Rattus norvegicus: one gene and its partners. The protein of the gene in region 1 interacts with the protein of each later gene in a pairwise test. Links are inferred from orthologs where the notes say so. Each region holds a gene or a part of one and is shown in the gene's direction. Other genes may lie near its edges. The genes, in order: Cep70, Nol12, Rbm10, Zfp366, C10h1orf35, Akap17a and Ttll10.

The links.
Region 2: the proteins of Cep70 (region 1) and Nol12 interact in binary tests that used the Homo sapiens proteins (3 or more experiments, as listed by UniProt). The two-hybrid records come from large-scale screens. The link is inferred for Rattus norvegicus from reciprocal best matches to the Homo sapiens genes CEP70 and NOL12.
Region 3: the proteins of Cep70 (region 1) and Rbm10 interact in binary tests that used the Homo sapiens proteins (3 or more experiments, as listed by UniProt). The two-hybrid records come from large-scale screens. The link is inferred for Rattus norvegicus from reciprocal best matches to the Homo sapiens genes CEP70 and RBM10.
Region 4: the proteins of Cep70 (region 1) and Zfp366 interact in binary tests that used the Homo sapiens proteins (3 or more experiments, as listed by UniProt). The link is inferred for Rattus norvegicus from reciprocal best matches to the Homo sapiens genes CEP70 and ZNF366.
Region 5: the proteins of Cep70 (region 1) and C10h1orf35 interact in binary tests that used the Homo sapiens proteins (3 or more experiments, as listed by UniProt). The two-hybrid records come from large-scale screens. The link is inferred for Rattus norvegicus from reciprocal best matches to the Homo sapiens genes CEP70 and C1orf35.
Region 6: the proteins of Cep70 (region 1) and Akap17a interact in binary tests that used the Homo sapiens proteins (3 or more experiments, as listed by UniProt). The two-hybrid records come from large-scale screens. The link is inferred for Rattus norvegicus from reciprocal best matches to the Homo sapiens genes CEP70 and AKAP17A.
Region 7: the proteins of Cep70 (region 1) and Ttll10 interact in binary tests that used the Homo sapiens proteins (3 or more experiments, as listed by UniProt). The two-hybrid records come from large-scale screens. The link is inferred for Rattus norvegicus from reciprocal best matches to the Homo sapiens genes CEP70 and TTLL10.

The regions. Positions count from the first base shown.
Region 1 is NC_086026.1:108,688,257-108,692,506, forward strand, and holds the start of Cep70 (centrosomal protein of 70 kDa), read left to right. Parts: upstream 1-1,450; 5' UTR 1,451-1,467; intron 1,468-4,250.
Region 2 is NC_086025.1:112,372,423-112,376,548, forward strand, and holds the start of Nol12 (nucleolar protein 12), read left to right. Parts: upstream 1-1,326; 5' UTR 1,327-1,348; coding exon 1,349-1,431; intron 1,432-1,534; exon of another isoform or gene 1,535-1,621; coding exon of another isoform or gene 1,622-1,818; intron 1,819-2,271; coding exon of another isoform or gene 2,272-2,364; intron 2,365-2,663; coding exon of another isoform or gene 2,664-2,670; intron 2,671-2,971; coding exon 2,972-3,077; intron 3,078-3,959; coding exon 3,960-4,008; intron 4,009-4,126. UniProt on the Homo sapiens protein: Multifunctional RNA binding protein that plays a role in RNA metabolism and DNA maintenance. Participates in the resolution of DNA stress and the maintenance of genome integrity by localizing to sites of DNA insults.
Region 3 is NC_086039.1:4,098,525-4,102,024, reverse strand, and holds part of Rbm10 (RNA-binding protein 10), read left to right. Parts: intron 1-141; coding exon 142-228; intron 229-2,185; coding exon 2,186-2,246; intron 2,247-2,361; coding exon 2,362-2,538; intron 2,539-2,923; coding exon 2,924-3,084; intron 3,085-3,254; coding exon 3,255-3,352; intron 3,353-3,500. UniProt on the Homo sapiens protein: Binds to ssRNA containing the consensus sequence 5'-AGGUAA-3'. May be involved in post-transcriptional processing, most probably in mRNA splicing. Binds to RNA homopolymers, with a preference for poly(G) and poly(U) and little for poly(A).
Region 4 is NC_086020.1:32,354,212-32,357,711, forward strand, and holds part of Zfp366 (zinc finger protein 366), read left to right. Parts: intron 1-468; 5' UTR 469-482; coding exon 483-1,805; intron 1,806-3,500. UniProt on the Homo sapiens protein: Has transcriptional repression activity. Acts as a corepressor of ESR1; the function seems to involve CTBP1 and histone deacetylases.
Region 5 is NC_086028.1:44,493,170-44,497,184, forward strand, and holds C10h1orf35 (multiple myeloma tumor-associated protein 2 homolog), read left to right. Parts: upstream 1-1,215; 5' UTR 1,216-1,313; coding exon 1,314-1,558; intron 1,559-1,704; coding exon 1,705-1,750; intron 1,751-1,832; coding exon 1,833-1,915; intron 1,916-1,991; coding exon 1,992-2,064; intron 2,065-2,168; coding exon 2,169-2,254; intron 2,255-2,883; coding exon 2,884-3,015; intron 3,016-3,133; coding exon 3,134-3,251; 3' UTR 3,252-3,678; downstream 3,679-4,015.
Region 6 is NC_086030.1:21,425,448-21,429,408, reverse strand, and holds the start of Akap17a (A-kinase anchor protein 17A), read left to right. Parts: upstream 1-1,161; 5' UTR 1,162-1,241; exon of another isoform or gene 1,242-1,332; intron 1,333-1,596; 5' UTR 1,597-1,672; coding exon 1,673-2,473; intron 2,474-2,802; coding exon 2,803-2,951; intron 2,952-3,608; coding exon 3,609-3,861; intron 3,862-3,961. Other genes in the region: Asmtl (N-acetylserotonin O-methyltransferase-like protein), read right to left, coding at 45-137. UniProt on the Homo sapiens protein: Splice factor regulating alternative splice site selection for certain mRNA precursors. Mediates regulation of pre-mRNA splicing in a PKA-dependent manner.
Region 7 is NC_086023.1:171,923,538-171,927,837, reverse strand, and holds the start of Ttll10 (protein polyglycylase TTLL10), read left to right. Parts: upstream 1-1,500; 5' UTR 1,501-1,598; coding exon 1,599-1,600; intron 1,601-1,703; coding exon 1,704-1,766; intron 1,767-2,996; coding exon 2,997-3,418; intron 3,419-3,494; exon of another isoform or gene 3,495-3,817; intron 3,818-4,076; coding exon 4,077-4,157; intron 4,158-4,242; coding exon 4,243-4,300. UniProt on the Homo sapiens protein: Inactive polyglycylase.

The DNA.
Region 1 (4,250 bases):
AGACTGGAGAGACATGCTTATTAGACTTCACCCAACTGAGGACTACTGTCCAGGCTATCTCAGGTTTTCAATAAGAAATTCCCAAGGATCGGATAACACAATCAATAGCTGGGGAAAGGAGTGGGCAGCCATCAAAAGACCAGATCTAAAACAGTTTAACAGGGCCAGACACAGTGGAGACACCTTTACATCTCTCTCTAGCCAATCAGGTTACAGAGTAAGACTAGCTGAGAGAGAGGGAGAGAGGTAGAGAGAGAGAGAGAGAGAGAGGGAACGAGTGGTGAAAGGAGGGAGAGGAGGAGGAAAGGAGGGGGTATGGGGAGAACAGGGAGAAAGGAAAGTAACTGTTGTTGGTAGTGTAAGGCGATGCGGCCACCATGAACATCAGTATAGGGGTGCCTAAAAATACCCTAGAAATACCCTAAAAAATATCCACCATATGAATATGGATAATTGTATAACTGAAGGAATCTAACTCCTAGAACACCCATGTTTTGTTTGTGCAATAGTCAAGATATGGAATATGCCCACGTGCCCATTAACACATAAATAGGTAAAGAAAATGAAGGCTATATAAACACAATGGAGTATTATTTACCCACAAAGAAGAATGAAACATGCTGTTTGTTGGACAATAGACAGAACTGAAAACCAACATGTGGAGGCCAAGAAAGCACACCCAGAAACAGCGATGTTATAAGCTGTCTTTCATGTTGAATCTAAAAAAAAAAAAAAAAGACAACCCACCACCACCACCACCACCACCACCAACAACAACAACAACACCCAAAGTAAAACAGAGCCTTCACCACCACCATCACAACAACAACAAACAAGGCACGAAAGCAGGGACTGTTTGGGAAAAGGAAGCGGACCAACAGAAACTAATGGGTGGGGCACGTTGACAGAGGTGTGGTAGGGAGAGTCAAAGCATTAATGTCCACTGCCAGAGTCTCTTGGGTAGCATAACATGAAACCACAGGGAGGCAAGTTGCCTGGTTAGATACTACTGAGGTCTGGACGTGGCCACTATAGAGATGGGTGGCTTCAGGCTGTCCCCTGCTCCCCAACCTGGGCTCTGGTCTCACCTGTGCAATTATGGCCTATGGACCGACCATCTTGCAAAGCAGCGTGCTGGGTCTGATTCTTTAGACTGCAAAGTTTTGCTCCTGCACCAAGCTTGGGGACTGGGAGCTCTGGGAGCATGCGCGCAGAACAGTACGGTCTACGATCTGCTGCCCTGCTTTCCCGGCCCTACCTGTGTAGCTGTCTAACCTGATGCCTTTGTTCTCCGAACAAGCCTTCCTCAGCCTGTACCCAGACATCATCAAGTCCTGCCCTGTGAGCAACGCCCAACAACAAACGTTGCTATGAGCCGTCAGTCCTCTCTGGGTGCCTGGCTCCGTTGCTGGAGTGAACTTGGGGAAACAAAACCCCACGACCTTGCTGCTCTGAAACCTGTGGAAGGTAAATCTGCTCCTGACATTGGTTCTCTAAAACCACTGTCCGGCATCCCTGTCCTTTTCTCTCCCTTGTGATACTGAGACTGAGCCGGTGTTCGAAGCTTCATAAATTTCCCAAATTGGCCTTAAGCTCACTCTGTAACCCAGACAGACCTCAGACTTGCAATTCTCCAGAGCTTTTCTTTCACTTCTTTTAAGACCCAAACTCCCTAAGGTGGACCCTGATACATACGGGAGGCAGACATAAAATTTGCTCTCCCCTCTCCATACACGGCTACCTCTAGACTCATTCCCTTGACAAAACTCATTTGGGTGATGGGCATATTTTGAGGCAGGCAGAGGAGCTTATTCCAAAACATCCACCGGGTTGGATGGATGCAAATGGATTCTGTCACATCTCTCCGATAAAGACAATGATCCCACTCATGTAGGCAGAGTCCCCATGACCTAATTACCTCCTAAAGTCTCCACCTCTTAACACTTGTGTTAGAAATCAGGTTTCAACATACAACATTTCAAAGAACCCCAGTATTCAAATCACCATGGTCCTCGAATCTGCTGGGCCCCTAGAAGCCCTCAGTCGCTTCACCTATGTCTGTTCTGTTGTTGGGCCTACTCTCTGGGGACCACTCACTGCTCCTGTAAGGTGGCTATGTTGGTTAGTTAAAAACAAACAAGCAAACAAACAAAAACAAAACAAAAACAAAACCCAGACACACAAAAATCGGTTCAAAATATACCAGAATATGCTAGTCTCTTGCACTGTGTTAATGACCAAAATGATTCAAACGACTTACAGGAGGGACTTTTGATTTGGGCTCAGAATTCCAGAGGTGCCAGTCTGCCCACGGCAGGGTCAGCACGGTGGATGGGCCACTTCACACCGTGATCCCAGAAAGCAGAGCAGGCATGATGGACTGAAGGCAGAGGAAAGAGGGTACAGGAAGAAGCCAGAGGAAGAACATGCTCCCAGTAACCCACTTCCCCTGACTTGGCTCCATTTATGACCTTTCACCCCGTCCTGATAAAACCCTGATATACTGTGAATCATCAAGGGAGTATTCCGTTTATTAGGTCAGAGTCCTCTCGATCTGCTCTGGAAACATCATCACACTGAGGATTGCTTCACTAAAGCACTAGACATTTCTCAATCCAGTCAAGCTGACAGTGAAGATTGCCCTCACAAAGAAGACGGGGAGTTAGGAATATTTATGGACTGGGAGCATGGAGAAAAGTGATCAAGAATTAGGAAGTAATTGGTTTAAGTGTTCAAGACCAAACTTTAACAACGACCCCCAATGTCAGCTCTGAAATTGGTGGTTTTAAAAACCAGCTAAAATCGAGCCACTAGGAGTACGTGAAGTAGGTTAAGTCTAGAGGGTTTAGTCTGGAATTAAGAGCAGGTGACACAGGTTAAGTGTGAAGAATTTGTTCAGGTTTTCCTTGGTTTCATAAGGGTGCAGGAAAAAGGTGCTATCTTAGGTGAGCAAAGCAATCCCTCTCTAGATTCTTCATCTTCTGACACCTTGATTTTGGACTTCTCAGCCAGAACAGAAAGCAACACATTTCTGTGGTTTGGAAATTATGTAGTCAAAAGACATTTTTGTGATAGGAGCCCGAGTGGGCCCCATCTTACAGCTTACTTCTGTAGCTTGATGATAATGTCAGGTTGTTCCAACTTTGGGATGAATATAATGGATAAAGTTTCTACGCGATAAGCAAGTGCAGTCTGGGAGAGAAGACAGTGTTGACAAGAGGAAACAACCTATTGATTAGGTTAATAGATCTTGGAAATGATATGACTGAATTCCTGAGCAAATTGTGCTCCAGAAATTCTGCTGAGAGAGCTTTGTACCTGACCTTGAAATGAAAGGTTCCCTGGAAAAGCGACTTTTATTCTCCTAATGTAATTGGCATCTCCGAGTCTTACTGCTGCCTCCTTCTGCTAACCTGGGCCTAGTCCTGGAAGCTTCTAGCCTCTGTACAATCCTATCTAGGCCTGGAATGTTTTCAGCCTCTGAGACTTACTGCTGAATAAGCTCACCCTGTCTAGCTCTTTCTGAACTCTGGCTGGCTGGTCACCTCAGCTGTTCTGACTCAAACTCCTCTCCAAGCTGACTGATTCAGTCTGGCTTCTCCCAGCTTCTGCTTGGCCTCATACTAACTTTGGCAATATATTCTAATCTTCTGCCTCCTTCTCCCTCTCTGTCTCATTCTGTCTTCAGATGTGTCTAACCTGCTCTCTCTCTCCACCCTGTCTCTGTACAACTGTCCCAGCAAAACTGCCTCCCCCTCTCACTGCACTGCCCTTCAGGTAGCTTCCCTTTCCTCTCTCTCCTCATGAGTTGGGCGTATCCTGTTCTGCCAAATCTTTCTCTGATTTGTCATTTTGTCTGCCACTTAATTAGACATCACTTTCAAACACCGATGCTTTCTTCAACAAACTAACTTTACCCTCATTGTTTGGGATTGAAGGCGTGAAGGGCATGTCTGTATTCCAGCCAGAACAGCCATGATGCTGAATTAAAATCCCTCTATAGGGGCTGGGGATTTAGCTCAGTGGTAGAGCGCTTGCCTAGGAAGCACAAGGCCCTGGGTTCGGTCCCCAGCTCCGAAAAAAAAAAGACCAAAAAAAAAAAAAAATCCCTCTACAGTTCCCCAAGAGGAAGACTTCATAGTAGCTTTCTCTTCATTATTTGCTTTTATTCGTAGATTGGACACATAATAAATTATTAAAGAAGGGTTGTAGTGGAAGACTCCAGAGATGCCTCAAGGTTGGCTGGTTTC
Region 2 (4,126 bases), on another chromosome or scaffold:
CTTCTTGCTGCAGACACATCATCTCCAGGACTATCATGAAAACTGACTACAGTCAAAGACATCAGTCCTGCTGCAACACAGGACTGGGTCACCAGATGCACATAGCCTTGAGAATGGGAGGAAGTCTGTACAACAGGGTCAGTAAAGTCCCCTGCCCAGTGTTATTTTATCCCGGGTTTCACGTTCAAACTTTTGTGGTTAGTAGAAGGTGTGTTGTTAAATTTCCTCTCCATACTTGAGGATACTGAGGCACATAGCTGGATACGGCTTGTGCACCAAACCGGAGTATGGCAGACTATTGTGTGACACACTCCTAACAACACACTTATCCCACCACGGTCGTGGCTCTCAGTTTGTTGCACGCAGGAGCAATATTCAGGGCCACAAGAGAATGTGCTAGAAATAGACATTCTGGGATCCTGTCAAATGTGCTGAACCCCCAAGTTCTTGATTTGGATTTCAGCAAGCCTTCTAGTGCATGCCCAGAGTTCTAGAGCCACCTCTTTACAATAACCTTACAAAGTCACTACAGCGATCTGTGTTTTATAAATAGGAAAGTGAGACACAAAGAAAATGGTAATTTGGGGGCTGGAGAGATGACTCAATGGTTAACAGCCCTAACTTCTCTTGCAGAGGACCAGGGTTTGGTTCCCAAAACCCACATGACTCACCATCTGTAACTCTAGTTGCCGGGGATCCGATACCCTCTTCTGGGCACTTACTCATGCGGTGCACACAACTCACTCAGGCACAGTATTTTATTAATCTTATTTATTTATAGACAAGGTCTCTTTATTATGTCGCTCTGCTCTGGTTGTCCTGGAACTCACTATGTAGGGTAGGCCGACCTCGAATCCCCTGCCTCTGCCTCTCAAATGCTGGGATTCAAGACATATGCCACCTTGCCCAGCTCATAATTTATGTTTTTGGTTTTTTTTTGTTTTTTTACGGCAATTGCTCCTGAGTCACATACTTTGTAAAGGAGTACCAGTGTTTGGATCTAGGCAGTTTCCCGCGACCATAGAAATCACAAAAGAGTTGACATCAGAATTCAATTAAAATCAGTAATTCTTGGACATTTATGAATAACTCCAGATTGAGCGTCTGTTTGAGGCAGGGCAGATGATGGAATCAGGAACCTAGTGCTCACTGGAGCCATTCTAGGACAATTACTCAGAAGACCTGAACCAAAGCTAAGACAGGATGGGAGGCTCCTTTAAAAGGTGGAGCCAAATCAGTGGAACTCTGGAACAAGGCCACGACGTGCGCCCCTACCGGAAATATGAAACGGCTCCGCCCGGAAGTGTTTTAGGTCAGAAGCAGCCACGCTGCCGGAAGCTTCACTGTTATGGGCCGCAACAAGAAGAAAAAAAGAGATGGAGATGACCGGCGTCCCCGGCTCATCCTCAACTTTGATGAAGAGAAGCGGCGGTGAGTGCCAGGGTAGAAACAGATTCCCGTCCGGCTGCCGGGGTTAGCGCGCCAGTCCCGGTGCGCACACGCCCTCGCAAAGGGCACTTCCGGTCCCGCCCCTGGATGTGACTGAAGAGCGTGTTCCCCTTTCCCGTGGAGTGAAGTCTCCTGCTCTGCCCCTCACTCGCGGTTTACGGTTCTCAGGGCTATGCCTTGGACCACGCGAGTCCAACATCGTCCTTTATCACGGCATATAGCCGGCTCCCAGTCGTTGTCGACGAATCGACGAAGGACGAGCGAATGGGATGAGAGAGATTTATGTTCATTCGCTCATCAGACCGTGTGCCAACCAAGCTTGAGACCAGAGGCTGAACCTCTGCGTTTCAGTGTCACCGTGGATAAATGGCACCTTGTAGTCCGGTGGTTCTCAACCCGTGGGTCGCGACCCCTTTAGACCCATTGGAAAAGATATTTACATTTACGATTCTTAACAGTAGCAAAATTACAGTTATGAAGTAGCAACAAAAATAATTTTATGGTTAGGGATCACCACAACATAAGGAACTTTTATTAAAAGGTCATTGCATTGGGAAGGTTGAGAACCACTGTTTGCAAAAACCCTGGTGCAGTGTACCAAAGACAATTGCCAAGCATGGTGGTACAGACCTGTAATCCTCAGTCACCCGGAATGTTGAGGCAGGAGGATTGCAGAGTCAAACCCTGTCTGGAAAAGTTCAAGAACAGAATGGGTATTTGGACAATTTATGGAGTCCCTGTCTCCAAGTCAATATAAACTAATTAATCTATTAGACCATTTGTCTAGCTCGAACAAGGTACTAAACTTAATTAACCCTCCAGTACAACAACAAACTCAGGAACAGAGCAGAGATCAGACAGGAAGAGGAAGCAAGAGTCAGGAAGGTGGGGGCACTCCTAGGTCCTGCCACACAGGTGGGTTCAGGAGTCAGGTGTCATTGGGGACAGGGTGTTGGTTGGTTCAGTGAAAGTTTTGGGGGTCTGGGTGAAGGTATTATTAGAAAGCTTTACTAGAAATGACTCCTATGAGATAAAGTTTGCCAGTATAGAAATAGTGACTACTTGCTCTACATGTTGACCACGTAGCCTGGTGTGTACTTACCTAGGGGCAGGAAGCCCAGGTGAGGTAGGTGAGAGACCTTGTCAAGACACACATTGTGTTACGGTGTTTTGGTTAGTAATGGGGCATGTACTGAGACTGTAGCTTGGCATAGGTGTACGGTAGGTTAATACCTCCTAGGATTATATAAGTACACTCTGATGGTCCAGCAAGGACTACCAACTTATTTCTCTTAAGGTACCCTTGTCATTGAATGACTAATAACTGCATTGTATGTGACCTTGGATAAGTACCCTAGTCTCTTCCTCAAGTCCCTCTCTATAAAGTGAGGACTGGCTGTTGAAAGGGTAAAGTGGGTTAGTGGGTAGGATAGAGCCTGACAACTCATGGAACACTCTAGAGCCCTGCTTTCCCGTGGCCCCTCCTGACTTCCCCCACTTCTCCCCTGCTTCCTTCCTGCAGGGAATACCTGACAGGCTTCCACAAGCGGAAGGTAGAGCGCAAGAAGGCAGCCATTGAAGAGATAAAGCAGCGGCTTAAGCAAGAGCAGAAGAAGCTTCGGGAAGAGGTGCGGTTGAGGGTGGGGTATGGACTGGGTGGGGGCTCAGCTACCAGGGAGGGTCAGCCTTGAATAGGGCTGCTGGAGTCAGCTGTGGGACAGCAGCGTGAGTGTGCTGGGAGCTCTTCATACAAGTGGAGATGCTAAGGATCTCTGTAAAGGACGGTCTCCCCTTGACTTTGCTGTGTGAACCATGGTCCCACACGATGGCAGTGAAGTGCGTGGGACTGTCACAGGGCATGGATGGAAAGGCCGTTCTCAGTGTGTTTATTTCTGTCTTAGTGGCTTTTCCTGGGACTGTGATTAAAAACAAAAAAAAAAAAAAAAAACTCTTGAAAAAAGGCAGCTTAAGGGAGAAAAGGTTTGGGCTAGAGACATGGCTCAGCAGTTAAGAGCACTGACTGCTCTTCCTGAGGTGCCAAGTTCAATTCCCAGCAACCACATGGTGGCTCACAACCATCTGTAATGAGATCTGATGCCCTCTTCTGGTGTCTGAAGACAGCTGCAGTGTACTTATATATAATAAATAAATAAATCTTGGGCTGGAGAAATCTTGGGCTCAACTGTTAAGAGCACTGCCTGCTCGAGTCAGCTGGTCCCATTGCACCCACAGTCGGGAAGCAGAGTGATGAAACAAATGCTGCCCCTTGACTCCCTTTCCTCACTTAACAAAGACCGGGAATGGCTCACCTATAGTGAGCAACTCCCTTTTCTGACTTACGCAATCCAGGATCCCAGCCCGGGAATAGCACCACCCATAGTGGTCTTCTCACCTCAGTGAACAAAATCAAGATAATATCCCACAGTGTACTCAGAGGCCCATTTCCCAGGCTATCTTAGATTTAGTCAGGTTAACAGTTAACACCTTCACATTTTCCCATTTGGCTTCAGCGCCACCAGGAGTACCTGAAGATGCTGGCAGAAAGAGAGGAGGCACTAGGTAAGTCTTTAACTTATGTGGAGAGCATCCGGTGAGCCTGTGCTTCTGTGTCCCCTCGGGGGCCAAGGGGGAATGGGGAGAGAGCTGTGGAGAGGGTTATTTCCTTAGCGTAGAGATC
Region 3 (3,500 bases), on another chromosome or scaffold:
CTCCATCAGTTCTCCAAACTCCCTTCATTCCCTGTCCCTCATCCATCCAGCTGAAGGGCTCGCTCACTCTTTTCTCCTTTGCTGAAACGGTATGTGGGGCACTGCTACCTAGGTCTTACTGTGTTCTGCTTTTTCCCACAGCATTCCCTCAACATCCTGGGCCAGAAGGTATCCATGCATTACAGCGACCCCAAGCCCAAGATCAATGAGGACTGGCTGTGTAATAAGGTACAGGGGTGGATGGGTAACCAGTGCTGGGGAGAAAGTCAGCTCCAGCAGCAGCAACAGCTTATTCAGTCAGAGAAAGTGTAGTCTTGGAGACAGGCTATCTAACCCCAGTCATTTAGGCTCTGTCCTCATCAAACACAGCCTTGCCTAAAGCTCCAATTGAATTGAAAGAAATAATAGCATAAGTGACAGCACAAGACACACACATTGTATAGGACATGGGCTTCAGAGCCATGGTGCTTGTAGACTGTCTCAGGTCTGCCTTGATGCTGGTCAAGGTGCTTTTCCTATCCCTATATCACTTTTCTCATCCTAAGTGAGTAAACGCTAATTAGGTGTTGAGAGAATGAAATGTGGATGGGAAAGTAACACATAAAAAGCCTTCTGGCCCACATTCAAGTCTGTAAGTGGTTGCCGTTACCTTTGAAAAGAAGCAGAATGTTCTGAGGGTAACTCAGCCTTGATACAGAAGGTCCCTGCAGGTTGTCTCATCATCACCATATTCCCTAAAAATGAAACGAAGGCTCAGGTGGAACCATGCATGAGCTTTTAGCTCACAGGGCCACCTCCTTCCTTAGGTGGCCTTAGGTCTGCCCTGAGGTCAGCATTGTGATTCTACAGCCCCATCTCCTGGGGCTATCTATAGTCTTTTTTTTTAAAGATTTATTCATTTATTATATATAAGTACACTGAAGAGGGGATCGGATCCCATTACAGATGGTTGTGAGCCACCATGTGGTTGCTGGGATTTGAACTCAGGACCTCTGGAAGAGCAGTTGGTGCTCTTAACCGCTGAGCCATCTCCCCAGCCCTATCTATAGTCTGAGGAAAGCTGAAAGCTAGTGGAGGACCCTGTGTTCTCCCTGATGAGTCTGGTTAGTGGGAGAGTGGTATCTGTCATCTTTATATAGGTGCTCAGCCTTTCTGGAGGGAGAAGGACAAAATGATACTGATACTTTATCTTTTTTCATATTTTCCTTGAAGCTGGTGTTTGCTTTGTGTTCTCCTTTTCGTTCTACATGTCTTTCAGTTACCAGATCCTGTCACTTGCATTTCAGAATAGTCACTTTCCTTTGCTATTCTTAGAGTTCTTGCCAATTCCTAACCCTCCCATCTAGTTCCCACAGAGCCCTTTTGTTATGTTAGCCTCACCCCTTTCTCCACCTTTACTTGTAGCTCTGACTGTCCCTTACATTCTCTGCCTAAAATTACTAGTTTTTAGCATAAGTCTCTCCTTTAACTGTCACCGTCTTCTCTTGCCAGCCTTGGTTTTTCTCTCTCTACATGCCCCTCCCCACCACCACCACCCCCAGCTATAGAAAGTCTCTTAGTCCCTCCGAGCAAGACTAAACCTCTGGATTTCCCAGCTCTAACCTCCCTGCTTCTATGAAGCCCAGCTCAATAAGCTGTGGCCTTTTCAACCCATTCTCTGCCCCTAACTCCTGTCAGTGCAGTTGAAACAGACTGCCCTGAACATATGTTGTTGGGCCTGACACAGTAGTAGTGCTTAGTAACTGACTGGAACAGAGATAGAATGTCATGGAAGCTGAACAAGGTCTTTGGTAGCTGGAATGTCTAAGAAGAAAAAAGCTGAAAGTAGCAGAATTCAGCCTAGGCCTAGCAATAAGGAAGGAAATGAATCTGACTAAAAGAGGCTGGTTTTCCTTAGGAAACAGTGAAAGTTTCTGGTAGGTAAGCAGTCTCAGGAAGAAGGGACTGTGAGATAACATGCTGAGAGTTGATAGTCCCAAGAAGATAGATAGAGAAGGGAGGCAACTGCTATAGCATGTGAAAATTGCTGATTGCTGAAGAAGGAAGGTTGGTGCTGGGAACCAGTTGTCAGAGGTTTATAGGATCGAAGATAATAAAGTTCCAAAACTTGTGCCACCCCTGACCTTCAAAGTTCCCTTCCTCGAGATTATTATGTTGTTAACTCCCCCTGGCCTATGCCTCACAGTGTGGTGTCCAGAACTTCAAGCGCCGAGAGAAGTGCTTCAAATGCGGTGTGCCCAAATCAGGTGAGCTACTACATGGGAGTGGCAAGAGGCATGAAGGCCAGTGAGGGCTGGGGAGTATGACCAGCCGTGCATCCTCCACCTTTGTCATCAGCATATCTCCCACCATTCCTGACAGAAGCAGAGCAGAAGCTACCCCTTGGCACTCGACTGGATCAGCAGGCACTACCGTTGGGTGGGCGGGAGCTAAGCCAGGGCCTACTCCCACTGCCGCAGCCCTACCAGGCCCAGGGAGTGCTGACCTCGCAAGCCTTGTCACAGGGCTCAGAGCCAAGCTCCGAGAATGCCAATGACAGTGAGTCAGTTGTTCTTTCCCCCTTCCTTTATACCCTAGGGCATCTGGTATGGGACCTCTGAGGCCAAAGAAATGGTAATGAACAGTGCTTGATCCTTATTGAGGGAGAGTGTTTGTACCTGGTGTGGGGATAGATATATGCTAGAGAGAGAGAGCAGAGGGAGGAACTGTCCACACACTGATTTTAGGGCTATTTGAGAGGGTTCCTGTAGTTGAGAGACTGCTGACACCTGGGCTGACAAGCAGAGTTTATTCAAGAGGAAGAGTGAGAGGAAGCAAAGGGTACATGAGTACAGAAACAAGAGAACAGGAAGCAACAGGGATCTCTAAGTAGGCCTGAACAGACTATCAGAGGTGCTTCCTAACACTGGACCCTTTCCCACAGCCATTATTTTACGCAACCTGAACCCACACAGCACTATGGATTCCATCCTCGGGGCCCTAGCACCCTATGCGGTGCTGTCCTCTTCCAATGTTCGTGTTATCAAGGACAAGCAGACCCAGCTGAACCGAGGCTTCGCCTTCATCCAGCTCTCCACCATCGTGGTGAGGGCGGCACAGGGGGGGGGCCGGGCAACCATGGTCCCGGCCCCCAGGGTAGGGAGGGGGGACCTTTACCCCACCCTCACCGCGGTCCCAGTCTGGAAATGGGGCAATGGAGCCGGGGGGCCTCCCCGGGCCTGACCCTTCGGTCCCTGCCACCTCTCCACCCATAGGAAGCAGCCCAGCTGCTACAGATCCTTCAGGCCCTACACCCTCCGCTCACCATCGATGGCAAGACCATCAACGTGGAGTTTGCCAAGGGCTCTAAGAGGTCAGAGCCCCACCTAAGCTCCCTCACAGCTCCCCCCATCTCCCTGCCCCCACCCCTCTTATACCTTGGGGGTCCCTGTTTCACAGTATCCCCCTAGCCCACCCCACCCCCGTGTACCTTGGGGGTCCCTGTTTCAATTCCAGTTTCT
Region 4 (3,500 bases), on another chromosome or scaffold:
ACATTTAAAACACCAATGAGTGGTAATTCCAACTCAGATGAGAACTGCTGCAGTCTGCATCCTGGTTCTGACCCCCCACCCCCACCCCCACCTCCACCCCCACCCCCCACTGAGTAGCTGTGCTGTATGAACACATCATTTCATCCTCAGGGGCCTTAGGACCCTCGCTTTAAACAGAAGGAAGGAGAGGGAGATACACGAGGGACAGATAAACTTTCAGGTTTCTGTCAGAACAAACCCACTCCCAGCCCCTATGATACTGAAATTCTATGGCTCTGTAGTTCACAATAGGCCCTCAGATGGGTAGCACCACATTAGCAGGTGAATTTAAAAGAACTCAGAGGGTCAATATAATAATACTTTTTATAAGTTAGTACTGATCCCTATCCAAAACCTCTTTAAGTTCAGAAAAGAAGATCAGAAACAAGGCAAAGCAAAACCTCACAAAAGTTTTCTTTCTCTTTAAAGAGAAGCTGCAGAGGATGCAGAAGGTGATGAAGATGGTCAAAGACGAGGATGGCCCCCTCAACGCTGCTGCGAAAAGCATCCCTTCCTTTCCCCACTGCCTACAGCCCGAGGCTTCCCGAGGGAAGGCTCCCCAAAGACACCCCTTCCCGGAAGCCCTCCGGGGCCCCTTTTCACAGTTTCGGTATGAACCTTCTCCAGGAGACCTTGATGGATTCCCGGAGGTCTTCGAGGGAGGAGGGTCCCGGAAACGGAAGAGCATGCCCACCAAGGTGCCTTACAATCACTCTGCAGAAGAAGCCACCATCGCTCAGGAGAGCAAGAGCTTGGGTCCTCCAAACCTCGCTCTGCTTTTTCCGCAGCCACAGCATCCCAAGTGTGACTCCCAGATGATCGACCTGTGCAATGTGGGCTTGCAGTTCTATCGCACCCTGGAGCACCTGGGGGGCAAACCAGTCAAGCAGGAGCCGGTGAAACCCAGCGCCATGTGGCCCCAGCCCACGCCTCCTGCCTTCCTGCCTGCGCCTTACCCCTACTACCCCAAAGTCCACCCTGGACTCATGTTTCCCTTCTTCATGCCCTCGTCCTCACCCTTCCCCTTCAGCAGGCACACCTTTCTGCCTAAGCAGCCCCCCGAGCCAGTGTTACCCCGCAAAGTGGAGCCCCTGGAGAGCGAGGAGACCAAACAGAAGGTGGAGAGGGTGGATGTGAACGTCCAGATTGATGACAGCTACTACGTGGATGTGGGCGGGGCTCAGAAGCGCTGGCAGTGCCCCACCTGTGACAAGTCCTACACTTCCAAGTATAACCTGGTGACCCACATCCTTGGCCACAGTGGGATCAAGCCGCACGCGTGCTCCCGTTGTGGGAAGCTCTTCAAGCAGCTCAGCCATCTGCACACCCACATGCTGACACACCAGGGCACTCGGCCCCACAAATGCCAGGTGTGCCACAAGGCCTTCACCCAGACCAGCCACCTGAAGCGTCACATGATGCAGCACAGCGAGGTGAAGCCGCACAACTGTCGCGTTTGCAGTCGGGGCTTTGCCTACCCCAGCGAGCTCAAGGCCCACGAGGCCAAACACGCCAGCGGGCGCGAGAACATTTGCGTGGAGTGCGGCCTCGACTTCCCCACCCTGGCTCAGCTGAAAAGGCACCTCACTACGCATCGGGGCCCCATCCAGTACAACTGCTCAGAGTGCGACAAGACCTTCCAGTACCCAAGCCAGCTTCAGAATCACATGATGAAGCATAAGGACATCCGTCCCTACATCTGCTCCGAGTGCGGCATGGAGTTCGTGCAACCCCATCACCTCAAGCAACATTCACTCACCCACAAGGTATGGGAAGTGGAGGAGGGGGAAACGGGGTGGCAACCAGGGGTGGTCTGCTGTGTCACCAGGAAAGGAACAGAGCTGGTTGGGGTGGGTCTATGATCCTGTTCCTATCTAAAATGCAGAGAGCTCTGTGACTGGCTAATATGCTCGCCTAACCTGAGCCCCCAAAGCCCTTTCCCACCTCACGGAACAAACAGTGAAAGATGTGCCAGTACGCAATCAATTAAGCCCTTTCCCAGAATAGAGTTAGCGCCTAAGGTGGGACTGGAAATTACCAATGCAGACTCTTGGAGAGGACAGTGAGGAAGGATGAAGGAAGCAGCTGGGTGCTGTGATATTTCTGCTTAGCCCTCAAGAGCCCTAGCATTTTGTTTCCAGAAACTTCTTTTAGGGCACTAGTGAAAAACAAAAACGACAACAACAAAACGCATGTGATCAGACACAGATCATCATTCACCGTGCCTGGGCTATACCAAAGAAACCCTCTTTCTAGAGAATTCTCTAAGAGCCCTTTCCAGCAGCAGCAGCAGGGCCTATTTCTGGTTCGTTGGCTGGCCCTGCTGTGACACTTGCTTCCTTCGGGTGGCTATAAGTTGGAGCAGAGTTTAGCGTAGTCTCCGGGGCCTGCTCTTCCCTGTCCGCTTGGGTTCACTAGTCTGTGGTATCTTTGTGGGAAGCGGGAGGAAGCACCCTTCTCTGCTGGGTTTTAACTTCTCTGGGCTCAGATCTTCCGGGAGCAATGCAAATACAAGATTCTTTGTAACTAGCGATGTGGAGTGCACCACAGGAATAGGGCGAGCCCAGAGCTGCATCTTGAGATCTTACTCAAATAAGCTTTTACTTAGGTCTGCTGTGACCTGCCAAGAGAGGACTTTTGCCTCTACTGACCTCTGGTCTTACCCTTGACCTCAGTAGTTTTCTTGGCAAGAGCAGAGCAGAGTCTTTAAAACATCCTTTATTTCCATGGGTCATCAGAGGGCTGGCCAGCTGAGGCCAGCTGCAGCCCCACTCTGCTGGCTTTCCTTCATTCAGTCAGGACAAAACACAGTGCTCTCTGGCTCTGTAGCAGAGATGTACTTCCTGATGGACAAAAGGCACTCATAGAACATCTAAGGGGAATGGGGGTTGGGGGGGTGGGACTGGCCGACAAGTGCGGGAACCATCGACAGAGGACTTGGACTCAGATTTGGCCACAAAGGCACTGCTGGCTTAGTTCAGGGGGTTCCTGTGTATGTATGGGGATGGAGGTCAAAGGTTACTGATTTTAGACCTTATGGATTTGGCAAGGTAACGGAAAATGAAGTTCCAATGGGAAAAAGAACCTGTTGTTTTCCTCAAATAGTTAATTAAACAAGTGTGCTTTTGGTGGACACCTGGGCAGACACCAGATGCTTGCTTTGTGGTGGTTCGCAACTCAGTGTTACTGATTCTCAAGGGTGCTGGGGTCTGCAGCTGACTGAAAGTGAAAACACCGAGATATGATCCAGTCTCTCAGAACAGCAGCTCCAGCACCCAGAGCTTTGTTTGTTTGTTTTATTTATTTAGTTGGTTTTTTTTTATTTTGTGCATGTTTGCTTAAGTGTGCAAAATGCTCATGTGTGCACACAGAGGCCAGAGGCCAACTTCAGGTGTCTGCTCTTACTCCCCATGTAATGTTTTTGAGATAGATGCTCTCACCGAGCCAAGTTCATCAACTGG
Region 5 (4,015 bases), on another chromosome or scaffold:
CAGAGGCAGAGAGTGCATGCTCAGAGGCCATTAAGGCCCCTGCCGGGGCTGGGGATTTAGCTCAGTGGTAGAGCGCTTACCTAGGAAGCGCAAGGCCCTGGGTTCGGTCCCCAGCTCCGGGAAAAAAAAGAACCAAAAAAAAAAAAAAAGGCCCCTGCCAAGCCTCAGGCCATCAAGCCCAAGATGCCAAAGGACCCCAGCCACAAACTCAGCTGTCTGGCTCTCATCACTCACTCCAAGCTTGGGAAGAGCATTTGAAGCTACATGGTCAAGGGTTGTAAGCTCTGCCAATCAAAGCAAGATTGTACAGAGGCTAGAAGCTTCCAGGACTAGGCCTAGGTTAGCAGACAAAGGCAGTAAGCTTTGGAGATGACAATTACATTAGGCAAATAAAGGATATGTATTGTGCAGCTCCCCTTGGGACCATCCATTCATCCCTAGTATGATCTTGTTCTGAGGGATCTGAATCCAGATATTTCCTCTAAAACCAGGACTTGATCTCAGGGCTTATACCAGGAGCCTCACAGGCTGCTGACAGGTACCCAACTTGTGTTCAGAATGAAAACAAAAATGAGATTGTCTTGGTCTATTTGGGATGCTAGAGTGTTCCAGGTTGGGTAATTTATCAGACTAGGGATGGAACCCAAAACCTTCTACATGTTAGGCGAGTGATCTATCATTAAATCCGTTTCTGTTCATTTTGAGGCAAGGCCTCAGTGAACTGCCGGGTAAAGCTTCACCTGCGGAGTACACAGATCGCTCTGGTTTAGGGATGCTTCGACTTGTGGTATTTAGCTTACTGTAATGCCATGCACGCTGTCACTCAGAGCACGGAAGAGTTGATCTATGTTCCTTTGGCGACTTTATCTGCTCCTCAGTGTTCGGTGAAGTTTTGCCATTACTTAACTTAGTTTCAACAGTGACCTGGACCTCAGGCCTTTGGAGTTAGCACGCTTGGCTTTCCAGGAAACAAGCGGACAGCCCCTCCTGGTGTCACTAAGGTGTTGTGGTGTCCCACTCCACGGAGATGCCTAACACAAGCGTTATCAGGTGTGATAGCACGGTTGCCTTTTTGAAGAGGTACTGCGCAATAGGACGAAGGATGTGCCTGTGGGTGAAGCAATGAACGCCCTTTGGAAAGATGGAGTCGGTCCGGGATACGCAGTGCGCAGGCGCACAGGAACGTTAGTTAGAGCGCAGGCGCGCGCGGGGGGCGGGAGAGTGACGTCACGGCGAGCGTCCGGAGGCCGAGTGCTGCGGGGAGTCCGACTCCAGACCGTAGATACTGAAGAAGGTGCAGCGGCTCCAGCACCATGTTCGGCTCCAGTCGCGGCGGCGTGCGTGGCGGGCAAGACCAGTTCAATTGGGAAGATGTGAAGACTGACAAGCAGAGGGAGAACTACCTGGGCAACTCGCTGATGGCACCAGTAGGCCGCTGGCAGAAGGGCCGCGACCTCACCTGGTACGCGAAGGACCGCGCGCCGTGTACCGGCCCGAGCCGTGAAGAAGAATTGGCAGCCGTGCGTGAGGCGGAGCGTGAGGCGCTGCTGGCCGCACTGTAAGTGCTTGGGCTGCGGGGCGACCGCACGCGCCGGGGGCGGGGTCTGGGTGACCCTGGGGGCGGGGTTGGATGTGGGCGGGGCACACGAGGAAGGCAAAGGAGGGACTAGACCTTTGCTGAGCATTCCCGCCCCTCGTTCGCAGTGGTTACAAGAACGTGAGGAAACAGCCCACCGGCCTGAGCAAGGAGGTGAGTCTGAGATAGGGGTTCAAGGTTCGCAGGGTGGCTGGGGGTCCGTCTGTCCCGGCCTAGAACCTCCTGTCTTCCGCAGGACTTCGTGGAGATCTGCAAACGGGAAGGAGGAGATCCTGAGGAGAAGGGTGTGGACCGGCTGCTGGGTCTGGGCAGCGCCAGGTGCGGCCAGTTGGGGAGTCTAGGGCAGGACTGGGCGGTGATTCAGAACTGTCCTCAAATGCTCTGTCCCCTGCAGTGGCTCCGCGGGCCGTGTGGCACTATCCCGAGAAGACAAAGAGGCTGCCAAACTTGGGCTGTCAGTGTTCACGGTAAACCCTGTCAACCCTAATGCCCAGGATCTTGGGGTTTGGGGGTGTCTGAGATGTGGGGCAGGATTCCCGGAGTGTCCCTCACCACAGCTACTCTTATACAGCACCACCGTGTGGACAGCGAAGGCCCAAGTACTGCCCCATCTGCTACCAGGAAGAAGCCCCGTGCTGAAGACAAGGCTGAACTGGAGTAAGTTGAGTCTGACTTCCTGTGCACGCATAAAGGGGCAAAGCACTGCCTTAGGTCTCTTAGTTTACTGAAGTAGGTGGGCCTCCATCTCCCGGCTGAGTCTCAGTAGCTGCCACAGGCAATCCAGCAGGATAATGGGTACAAACAGGAGGGTGACACTCAGGACCATGATGCTAGCCAGTTTGGTGGGGGGTGTAGTAGTTAAAAGTATAAGTTGGCTTTGGTAGTGGCACACATCTTTCTTTCTGGTAGACAGAAGCAGGCTGATCTCTCATAAGCTGGTTCCAGGCCTTGGGATTTAACTGTATGTGTGTCAGGTTACTTCTACTTTTGTGCCATGTCAGCTTTGTATGTAGGTAAAATAGTGAGTTCCGAGCTTGACAAGGCTGCAGAGAGAGACAGAGAGAAGGCCCACCAGGTTGGTAGCATGCCAGCATTCACCCTTGCTGCTGTGGAGCCAAATATTAAGCTCATTTACAAATATAAACTCACAATGTGTAGAAACGACCAGTGTGCAATGCTAAGGTATGGACCCTGCCCTATTCTGTCTTTCCCTACTGGGTGAGACTACCCCACAGTGGAGTGACTCTAGTTCTTCAGGCTTAGACCCTTTGTATTGTTTCTTGCAGTGCAGAGAGCCATAAGAAAAGCAAGAAAGAAAAGAAGAAAAAGAAGAAGAAACATAAGAAACACAAAAAGAAGAAAGACAAAGAACACAAGAGGGAGGCTGACAGCTGCTCATCTTCTCCCTCTCCTGCCCGGTAGGCTAGGCCCAACTCTATCTGGGTCACTAAGGAAGGGGGTGGGGCGCAAAGCTGGCCAGGGCTTGAGTGATGCTTAGCAGGGTGATGGACCCTTCAAGTGTCCCTGTCTTCCTAGGCCCAGACGCCAGAGACATTCTGACTTCTCTCCCTGCTATAAGAGGAAGCGGGAACATAGCCAGGACAGTGGAAGGAACCCATCCCACAGACGACAAGACAGAAGTTCTGATGACTGAGAATGTGGCTACACCAAAGGACACCAGAGGCCTGGCTGCTCTGCCCAACTCTGAGCTCTGTGGGGTCTATCACTGATGCCAAGTGGCTACCAGCCCACTCCTACTTGCTAACTATCTCATCCCTATCTGGGATAAGGCAGGGCTGCTCCCTAATAGCATCCTGAGCCATGCTTGCTGGATCTTAGGATCTATCCTGCCAATTGGAGGCAACCACTCCGGGTCAGAGTGGGCCCTGGGTTACCAGAGAGCCTAGTGGTTCTATGAGGGTAATGCTCTCCCCTTGTCTCCCCACCCACCCACAATTGCCCAGGAGACTGTCTGCCGCCATAGTCCAGGCCCTTGAGGTTTTGGGGTGTGTGTTACTGATTACTTCTACTTTTTTTTGTATCAGCCCACTTTGTACTTAAGTAAATGTATTTTAAAAGTAGAGTGTATTATCTCACTGAGGACAGGTTATGCTGGGAGCCTACCCCTCCCCCCCACACCTCACCATTCAGTATACCTGAGGGCACTGGGTCTAGGGACCAGAATCCTGTCCTTGAGGCTGCCTTACAAGCATACAAGTGACCAAGAAGTTGGAAGAACAAACTTGTAAATTTGAATGTATCTGCTGTCTGCTAAGAGCTCCAGTAGCCAGCAATTTTATAGAGCCTGTGTGCACATGCTGGCAGACAGTAGAAATTAGGGTTGCTACAATATAGCAAGTTGTTCTGATTGTAAAAGCTATTATGCTGGTAGTGTACACTTCTGGGTAGACCCCAAAG
Region 6 (3,961 bases), on another chromosome or scaffold:
TCCGGTTCCCTCCCTGTCAGTGACCCGGCAAACGGAAAGCGCACCGCCAGGTCGAGGATCTCCCTCCGCCTTGGCGAAGCGCTCGCCAGGACCACGTGGTAACCGCGCAGGAGCGGGGCGAGCGGCTTCAGTGCCATGGGGGCCAGAGTCGCGCGGGGTTACCAGACCTGACCGATATCACTGGAGGACTCCGCAGCCCAGGCACCACCCTTCGTGTTACGTGAATGGTGGCGTTTTTGCGCAATTTCCGGAATTCGCCCAGGCCCCGCCCCTCCCTCTTGGCTTGCGAAATTTAGGAAAAGCGCAGGCAAGAGGGCGTATGCGGTATTAGATACTAGTAAAAATCAGTATGACAGGCGGAAGTCCCGCCCCTTTTCAAGTCCGTTTAAAGAAAATCTGAGCCGGAACTTGCCCTAGAACCACGCAGAGCCCTGGGAATCAATTCCGGAAGTCCCGCCCCCTGTCGCCTCCGTCAAAACCGGGAAAGGACGACCCGGATGCACTGTCACTGCCACGGGGGTCGCGCCAGGGCGGACGTCACACACATGGATACGCTAGGAATCACGGGATTGCCCGCCGCGCTACGCGGGCCGCGCTGGCTGACGACGAGTCGCATAGTTTATGACCTCACGCATAGCGGACAGAGTCTGCTCTTTGCTGAGCCTAGTTGCTTTGTTGTGACATCCGAGCGAAGGCGACGAAGGGGTCACCAGTGCTGACCCCGCAGGCCACTGTCACGGAGCCTAAGCGCAAAAGGGAACTGGGAGGGCGGAAGAGCGTCTACGCATGCGCGCCCTGCTGCTGTTGCTGTTTCTTGAGGCGGGGGTCAGAGGTGAGCGGTGCCGGAAGTTCCCTTTGTGCTCCTCCGCTTTCCCGCCACAGGAGGGCGGTTGAAAGCGGCTGACAGACGTTGTCTCCACGGAGGAAACGGGAGGGAGTCGATCGTATTTGACGTCACCGGTGAGCGCCTTGGTCACAGGATTATCGCCCTGTTGACCAAGGAGCCGCAACCTCCTGTGTCTGGGAGCGAGAGCAAAAACCTGCGCGTGCGCGCTGAGTGCCGCTGATTCTGCTGGTGATCCCTGTTTCCGGTATCCCGGATCAGAGGTGACCGGGACCGGAAGTGGCCATTTAAACTACGAAAATCAGTTGTCAGCGGCCGTGAACGAAACGCCTGCGGGGACTTTACCAAAAGGCCTTAGACGGTGGCGAGGACTAGAGTCTGGGCACCGGAAGCTAAGGTGCGTCACGGGAGCCCCGGGAATGGCTACGAAGGGTAACGGGGCAGAGTGACGAGGCCGCTGCGGAGCACAGGGGTGGAGCTTAGAGGAGGTGAGCGGAGAACACTCCGGGCTCGCGTGGACTGGGTCTGACCTGTTTCTGCTGCTTCCGCGGAGTTTTCCGGCTAGGAAATAGGATGGGGCCCTAGCAGGAGAAATGTAGGACTGGGGCGGAGCCTGGGGCAGAGGCTTGGCTTTATTTGAGAGGAGGGGCGGGGTTTGGTTCCTTGGCCATAATGGAGTCAGGTGAGCATAGCCTTAGCTGTGTTCTCATCCTAAGGTTCTCTGATGTCATGACCTTGTGTGCGTGTTTCAGATGTTGTGACGTCACCATGAGCATCACTACATACTGATATCACTGCACCATCCCCGCTCCCCCAGACTTGCTGGCCATGTCCTCAGCCACCATCGTGCACGACCCCTCGGAGGCGGTGCCCCTGTGCCCGGCGCTGGGCCTGTACCTGAAGCCAATCGCGCGGGTGACAATCTCGGTGTCGCTGCCCCCTCCGCCCCCAGCTCCGCCCCCTTCGCCTTCCTCGACGTCCCCACCCCCGCGTGCGCCAAGTCGTGCAGTGTCAAACTGGGAGGTGATGGAGGGACTGCGGGCGATGGCACAGGGGGCACGAGCGCCGCTGTCATCACTGCGCCTGGCCCGGGGCGGCCCTGAGGTCGTGCGCTTTGAGGGCGAGGTCGAGAACCGGGCGCTTGTGCGTCCCGCACTCGCTGGCCTGGACGGCAAGACTATGATGCTCAGCGGCCTCCCCCATGGCCTGCGTGTAAGCGCCGCTGAGGCCACGCCCCCACCCACGGATGACCCCGCCCACCCTCATGACACCATCCACCTTCAGGGCCTGCCCTGCCGCTGGTTTGCGCCCCGTGGGGGCAGTGGCGGGGATGAGGCTGGAGGCATTTCTTCCCCTGGTGGCATTGCCTCAGCAGAGAGGCCCAGCGAGGCTCTCCTGCGCCAGGCTTTCGGGGCGTTTGGTGAGATCCGCCATGTGGACATTCCCATGCTGGACCCTTACCTTGGTGAGGACGGCAGCCATGGCGGGGGCGGGGGCGGGCGGCTCCGCTTCGAGGCCTACGTTCAGTACCGAGAGCGTGATGCCTACGCCCGTGCCATGGCTGCCCTGCGTGGTGCTAAGCTCATGTTTAGGGGCACGGACGGCAAAGCTGTGGCCTGCGGCATCAAGGTGAGGGGTTTGGCGGGACCTGGAGTGGATTGACATCTTGTGGGCGGAGACTAAGCTATGACTGACAGAGTAGGGGCGGGGCACCAGATGTAAATGACACATGGAACTCCTTGGCGCTTGCATGTGGACAGGTGGGTGGTTCCTCGGGAAAAGTGCAGTGCCTGAGATGAGGGGTGGGGTCCATGACATCATGATGGTTTCAATGATGTCACAGGGGTCAAAGGGGGCGGGGTAGTGTGGAGATCAAAGGTCACCCACATGACATCACAGGGCGGCATTGTGATGTGACCACACGTCCTCTTCACTCCCCTGTGCTCCTTCACCTGCAGGTGACATCAGATGCCACACAGCACCTGAGCGAGGCTTCGATCAGACGCCGGCAGCTGGAGCGGCAGAAACTACAGGAACTTGAGCAGCGGCGTGAAGAGCAGAAGCGGAAGGAGCGTGAGGATGAGGCGCGGCGGCGGGCAGGCCAGCGGTGAGCCAGTCTGAGGCAGGGTGACTGGTGGGTGGATCAATGGGATGATGTCACTGGGAAATCATTTGGATTATATCACTCACATGACATTGTTGATAATGACACCGCCCTGATGAGCTTACTCTGATGACATCATGCTGTGTGACATCATCAGGTCTTGTATGAGGTCATGCTGAATGGTATTGCTGGCCGATATCACTCGGATGACATCACCAGGTGACATCATCCCAAATGACTTTGTGTTGCATGACATCATACCATATGACATCATTGGGGTGATGTCACTAGGATGCAATATCATATATCATGGTATGATCTCATGTTAAATGTGTTAATAAGAATGTCACCCATATGAATGACAGAGTGACATCACCACCCCTCACTTTCTCTTTGTTACACTCCTGGTCCCTCCCACCTGTCACTCATTCAGTAGTTGCAAACCCACACTCATTTATCCCACACTCATTTCCTGTCTGGGGCAAAGTCATTCGATGATGTCAATCCCTATGATGTCGCCCCCTATCACATCACCTTCAGCCTGGGATGAAATCATTTGATGACGTTGCTTGAATGACGTCATATCTAGTGACGCCAAACCCGATTGCATCACACGATGTCACGCCCAGTGACATCACCCACCCACCCCCAACCACCCAGGAAGCAGCGGGAGGCAGAGCAGCAACAACGGGCACGGCGTCGGGAGGAGAAGCTTCGGCGCAGAGAGGCACGGCAACGAGCACGGAAGAGACGAGGCCGACGTCGAGAGGAGGAGGAGGAGGAGGAGGAGGCAGAGCCCCAGCCTGTGTTGGGGCGTGAGGAAGAGGAAGGTGCAGAGCCCCGTCGGCTACTGCTCGCCCAGCGCAACCTGCAGTCTGTGCGGCTCATTGCTGCCCTGCTTGCCCGCGCTGAAGTAAGCAGGCCTTATGGGTGGGCAGAGTCAGAGGAGAGCAGAATTACAGTGTTGCCTCAGTCAGAGGTGGTATGGGCATGGGTGGGCAGGGCCTCAAGTG
Region 7 (4,300 bases), on another chromosome or scaffold:
CTGCAGTCCCACTGTACTACTAGTCTAGAGCAGAGAGGTCTCTTAAACCAGCACTGGACTGACCCCAGCACAGCATAGGAAGGGCAGATCAATGACGGTAAGCAGTCCCACAAATAGAGAGTGACAGCCTTGGGGCACCCTATCCCATTAGGACTCTGGGCACAGCTGAGAGATGGTGCTCTTCTAGACCAGCCGAGCACAAGCTCCCACACTGGCAGCTTAGAGTAGGGAAGAGACCTCAAGGGAAGAGCCACATGAGTGACTGGGTATGCCCAGTTTCTAAGGGGATTCAAGAGCCCCTTAAGATGGGCAGAACCACAAAAGAACCTGAAGGTGGGGAGATTTAGAAGGTAGCTGAAAACAACAGTTGTTTTCCAGAATTTCCAAGATATTCCCCCAAGGCCCTTGGTGGGAGTCCTCATATGTCCTCATAGTTCACAGGTCCTGTGTCTTACAGCCACATACTCTTATCTCTGCTCCCCTCTGAGGTCATCAGTCACTGGGTTTAGAGTACACCTGGTTGATGCAAGATGACTGCACCTAAGATCCTAACTCAGCCACACCTGTACAGATCTCTATTTTTGAAAAGGCACGGTCATGGACTCCAGGACTCATGATATGGTCCTGAGTTTCGGAAGCACCGTGTAGTCCCTGTCAAGGTCTTGTGATGCTTACAAGGCCCTGAAAGATGACAGGGATGTGGAGTCCATGTGGCTGGAAACTCGAGGTCAGAAGCAAGGAGTCACACCAGGTCCCAAGTTTCCCCAACAGGAAACTACAAATTGGCATCAAACCCACTTTGAGCCGTGCTTGGTGTCAGATCCTAGATCTTTAGGTCTGGATTAAGGAAGTCCCTGTGAATACTCAAAAATCATCTTGGAAGAGTTCATGGAAGGATGGAGGAAGTGGGCTATGCCCCAGATTCAGATGGGGTGGGGGTGTATACAAGACCCTTACTCAGCCACAGCATCCCGTCAGCCTCCTCAGATCAATTTGACCCCCATTCTCCACCACTTGCTTTGCCCAACTTCTGTAAGGCTGCCCCTCAGCTCACACAATGGCCCCTTTCACCATCCACCTAAAACTCTTGTTTACCTTTGGGCAGCTGCTGAATCATAGTTCCCTAGTAATAGTTGCCTGGAGACGGTTGTCAGGTCACCACTGTTGTATCCCAGCAAAGGATTCCTAAGACCTTGCAGAGCAGGTAAGAGAGACTTGCTGGTTACCAGCTGAGGGTCCTGACTAGGACTGAGGCTGAGTCCTTGCTCTCCTGAGCCTTATTTTTTGACCCTTTCTGGTAGTAGATAAACAGGAGAGAGGACTGGGCAGCTTGGCTGAGCTAAGCCTTCTGCTAAGGCCACTCTCCAAACCCCAGTGTTTTGGCCAAGAAAGGCGTGTTTGGGGGAGGGGTGGGATTGGTCCACGTGGGCAACTCAAATTTTGGGGAGGGTTGGGATTCCTTAGAAGAAGCTTTTTGCCTAGAGCCATGTCTGTCTCCCCCAGAACTGACCCCCCAGAAGGGCCACCTGAGATCCACAGAGAACGCATCCCCAGACAGTGAGCGCTGCTTGGGAGGCACCAGCCCTTCAAAAAAAAAAATGTCAGCACCTTCTCAGAGCCCTGTGTTGTCAAACGTGTGTGTGTGTCTGGAGAAAACTTGAGCAGACCACTGACGTGGTCATTTTCTCGGCCATCTTCTTCAGGTTTAAACGCATCTCCTGCTCGTACCGGGGTGTGATTTCCTGCCAGTCTTTATATCTGAACAGGTAAAATTGTTTATTTTACTGTAAGACTTCCTTTCTGGATCCTGGGTCTTGTCCTCAGAGAGACCCTGAAACATGCTTTCTAGATAATTTTTGAGGGAGGGTTTCATGAAGCTCAAGCTGGTTGTCAACTTAGGTGGTGAAAGATGACCATGACTTTCTGATCCTCCTCAAGTACGGGGTTTGTAACTGTGCAGCACATTACTGTTTCATGTGGTTCAGGGAGTCAGATCTTGGGTTTCATATATGCTGTGCAGTGCTGTATCAACTGACCTACATCATGAGCCCTTGCTATGATCTTTGTTTCACAGGGCCTCTCTACGTAGCCTAGGCTAGCTTCAAACTTTCGTCAATCTCCTGTTTTCTGCCTCCCAAGTGCTGGGATTACAGGCTTGTGTCACCACACCTAGCCTAGTTTTAGTAAATATGAATGACAAGAAATAGTTATTCATAGCTGAATTCAGTGTTAAAATAACAAGAATGGGAAGCTAAGAGAATGATCAGCAGAAATCTCTCTCTCTCTCTCTCTCTCTCTCTCTCTCTCTCACACACACACACACACACACACACACACACACACACACACACACCTACACTCCTGCCCAGTTCTAAAGCTCCAATCAGCCTCCAGGCACTCCTGGATTCTTCCATTTTTGCAGCCTGTCCTCTACAGAGGTCTGAGTTTCTCGTTCCAGGATTTCTCTCCATCCTACAGAACTTTTTGGATTTTTTTTTCTTTTCCTGTTGATTTGGTGGGGGCAGAATGCAGAACTGCTAGACATACGTAATGCCTGAATGGCTTGACTCTCCAATGGTTGCTGTTATTTGGCCTTTCTTTGCTGTCAGTCGATCCACAGACCTGCCTTCCTCCTCAGAGCTGACCTGCTCCTGTCCAAAGGCCTCAACCTTTCTTTCCCTTCTCAGTCACGCTGCCTTCTCTTCACTCACCCCACCCAACAACTTGGGTTTATTTCCTTGATGTGAGGCACGAACTTTTGACTAGGAATTAATTTAAAATGCCCTAAAATGTTTCAAAGATGTTAAATAGAGGAAAAGGACAGTATCTGGAGCAGGGGTGCTAAGGGACGAAGAGTTGATGGTAGACAGGTTGTGTTATGAGCACTTAGGTAGCCATAAACTGATAGGACCTTTGGGGCTTGGAGCCTCTTTGACCTTCAAGTGTGCAGATACACACCCTACCAGCAGCAAGGCTGATGGGCAACCTCTTTGCAGCAGACACAGAGGCCACACTCATCGAGGCCAGGACAGTCTTGGCCGAAGAAAACTCACTAGGCAGAGGCGGGATGCAAAGATGCCCTTACACCCACCGGCCAGAAGGCCTCACGGCCATCGCAGAAATGGAAGTGAGGCACAAACAGAAGCTACAACCCAGGATACAGGGAGGCTTTCTTGCCCAAGAAGGGTGGGTGCAGCGGTCTGTCCCATCCAAGGGCTGGGACATCGGGCTGCTCGAAGACCCCGAAGGGGTGTAGGGACTACATCTGCCTCAAGGGCTCCACGTCCTGGTGCCCTTATGCCTGCAACGCGCAACCGTCCAAGATTCATCCACTACCGGGTTCAACCCCCTCGGACCCATGTCAGCTTCAAGAGACCCAAACGGTCCAGGACCCATCAATCCCACACTAAGGTGCCAGGTGAATACAGAGGGGCTCTGGGACTGGTTACACATACTCTCAAGTCAGGGCCTCCAGGGAATGCATCTCAGAGGAAAGAGATTAGGCTCATACTAGACCAGGCCCAGCCAGCCAACCAAGCAGGCTCTGAGAGAAGTTAACAAGGGTCCACATACTAGGGACACTATGCTCAAGAATCTGCAAGCTTTACCTGTCCGTGCCATCACAGTGGGCACTCACTACCTCAAACCCATTTAGTGCAGTTTCTCATCTCTCCTGGTTGACCATAGACTCTTGAGTCACCCATGATGTCATCATAGACATTGTGACCCCTGCCCTCTGGAGACATCCCCACATCATGTTTGTATGGGCTCCTGTCTCACACTCTAGCCCACTCCCTGCATGGAGCCTTTCCTACTGGTAAGGAGGGTGCAGGTGGGGCCACCCTCTTCACTCCCAATGTAGTCTCCACACGACACGTGGGCTCTGCCCGACTTAAGGCTGATGATGTCTCCTTTCTTGGGTGTAATGACCCTCAGGCCTCCTGGTCAGGTCTGTGTTGGGCTGAAGAAAAGTCCAGAGGGGCCGGGTTAGTTCCCAGCAGCTGCTGGCATTGGCTGGGCTCAGGCAGATTGAATGGGTACCTGCCCTTTCCCCACCTGACACCACTGGTCTCCAGGCTGGACCCATGAGAAACGGATGGGGAGCAGTGTCGAGGAAGGGCTCCGGCCTGAGCTAAGTCAGCTGGAACAAGATGCAGGTGGGGCTTCTGGCAGCTGGGAGGGGCAGGAAAACCCTACTGAGTCAGAAACCCCAGGGCCTCTGATCATCCCACCTACCCACAGACAACCTAGGGGAAGAAGAAGCTGCCAGGCTCCCGGTGACTTCCCTGAATGGGCTCCT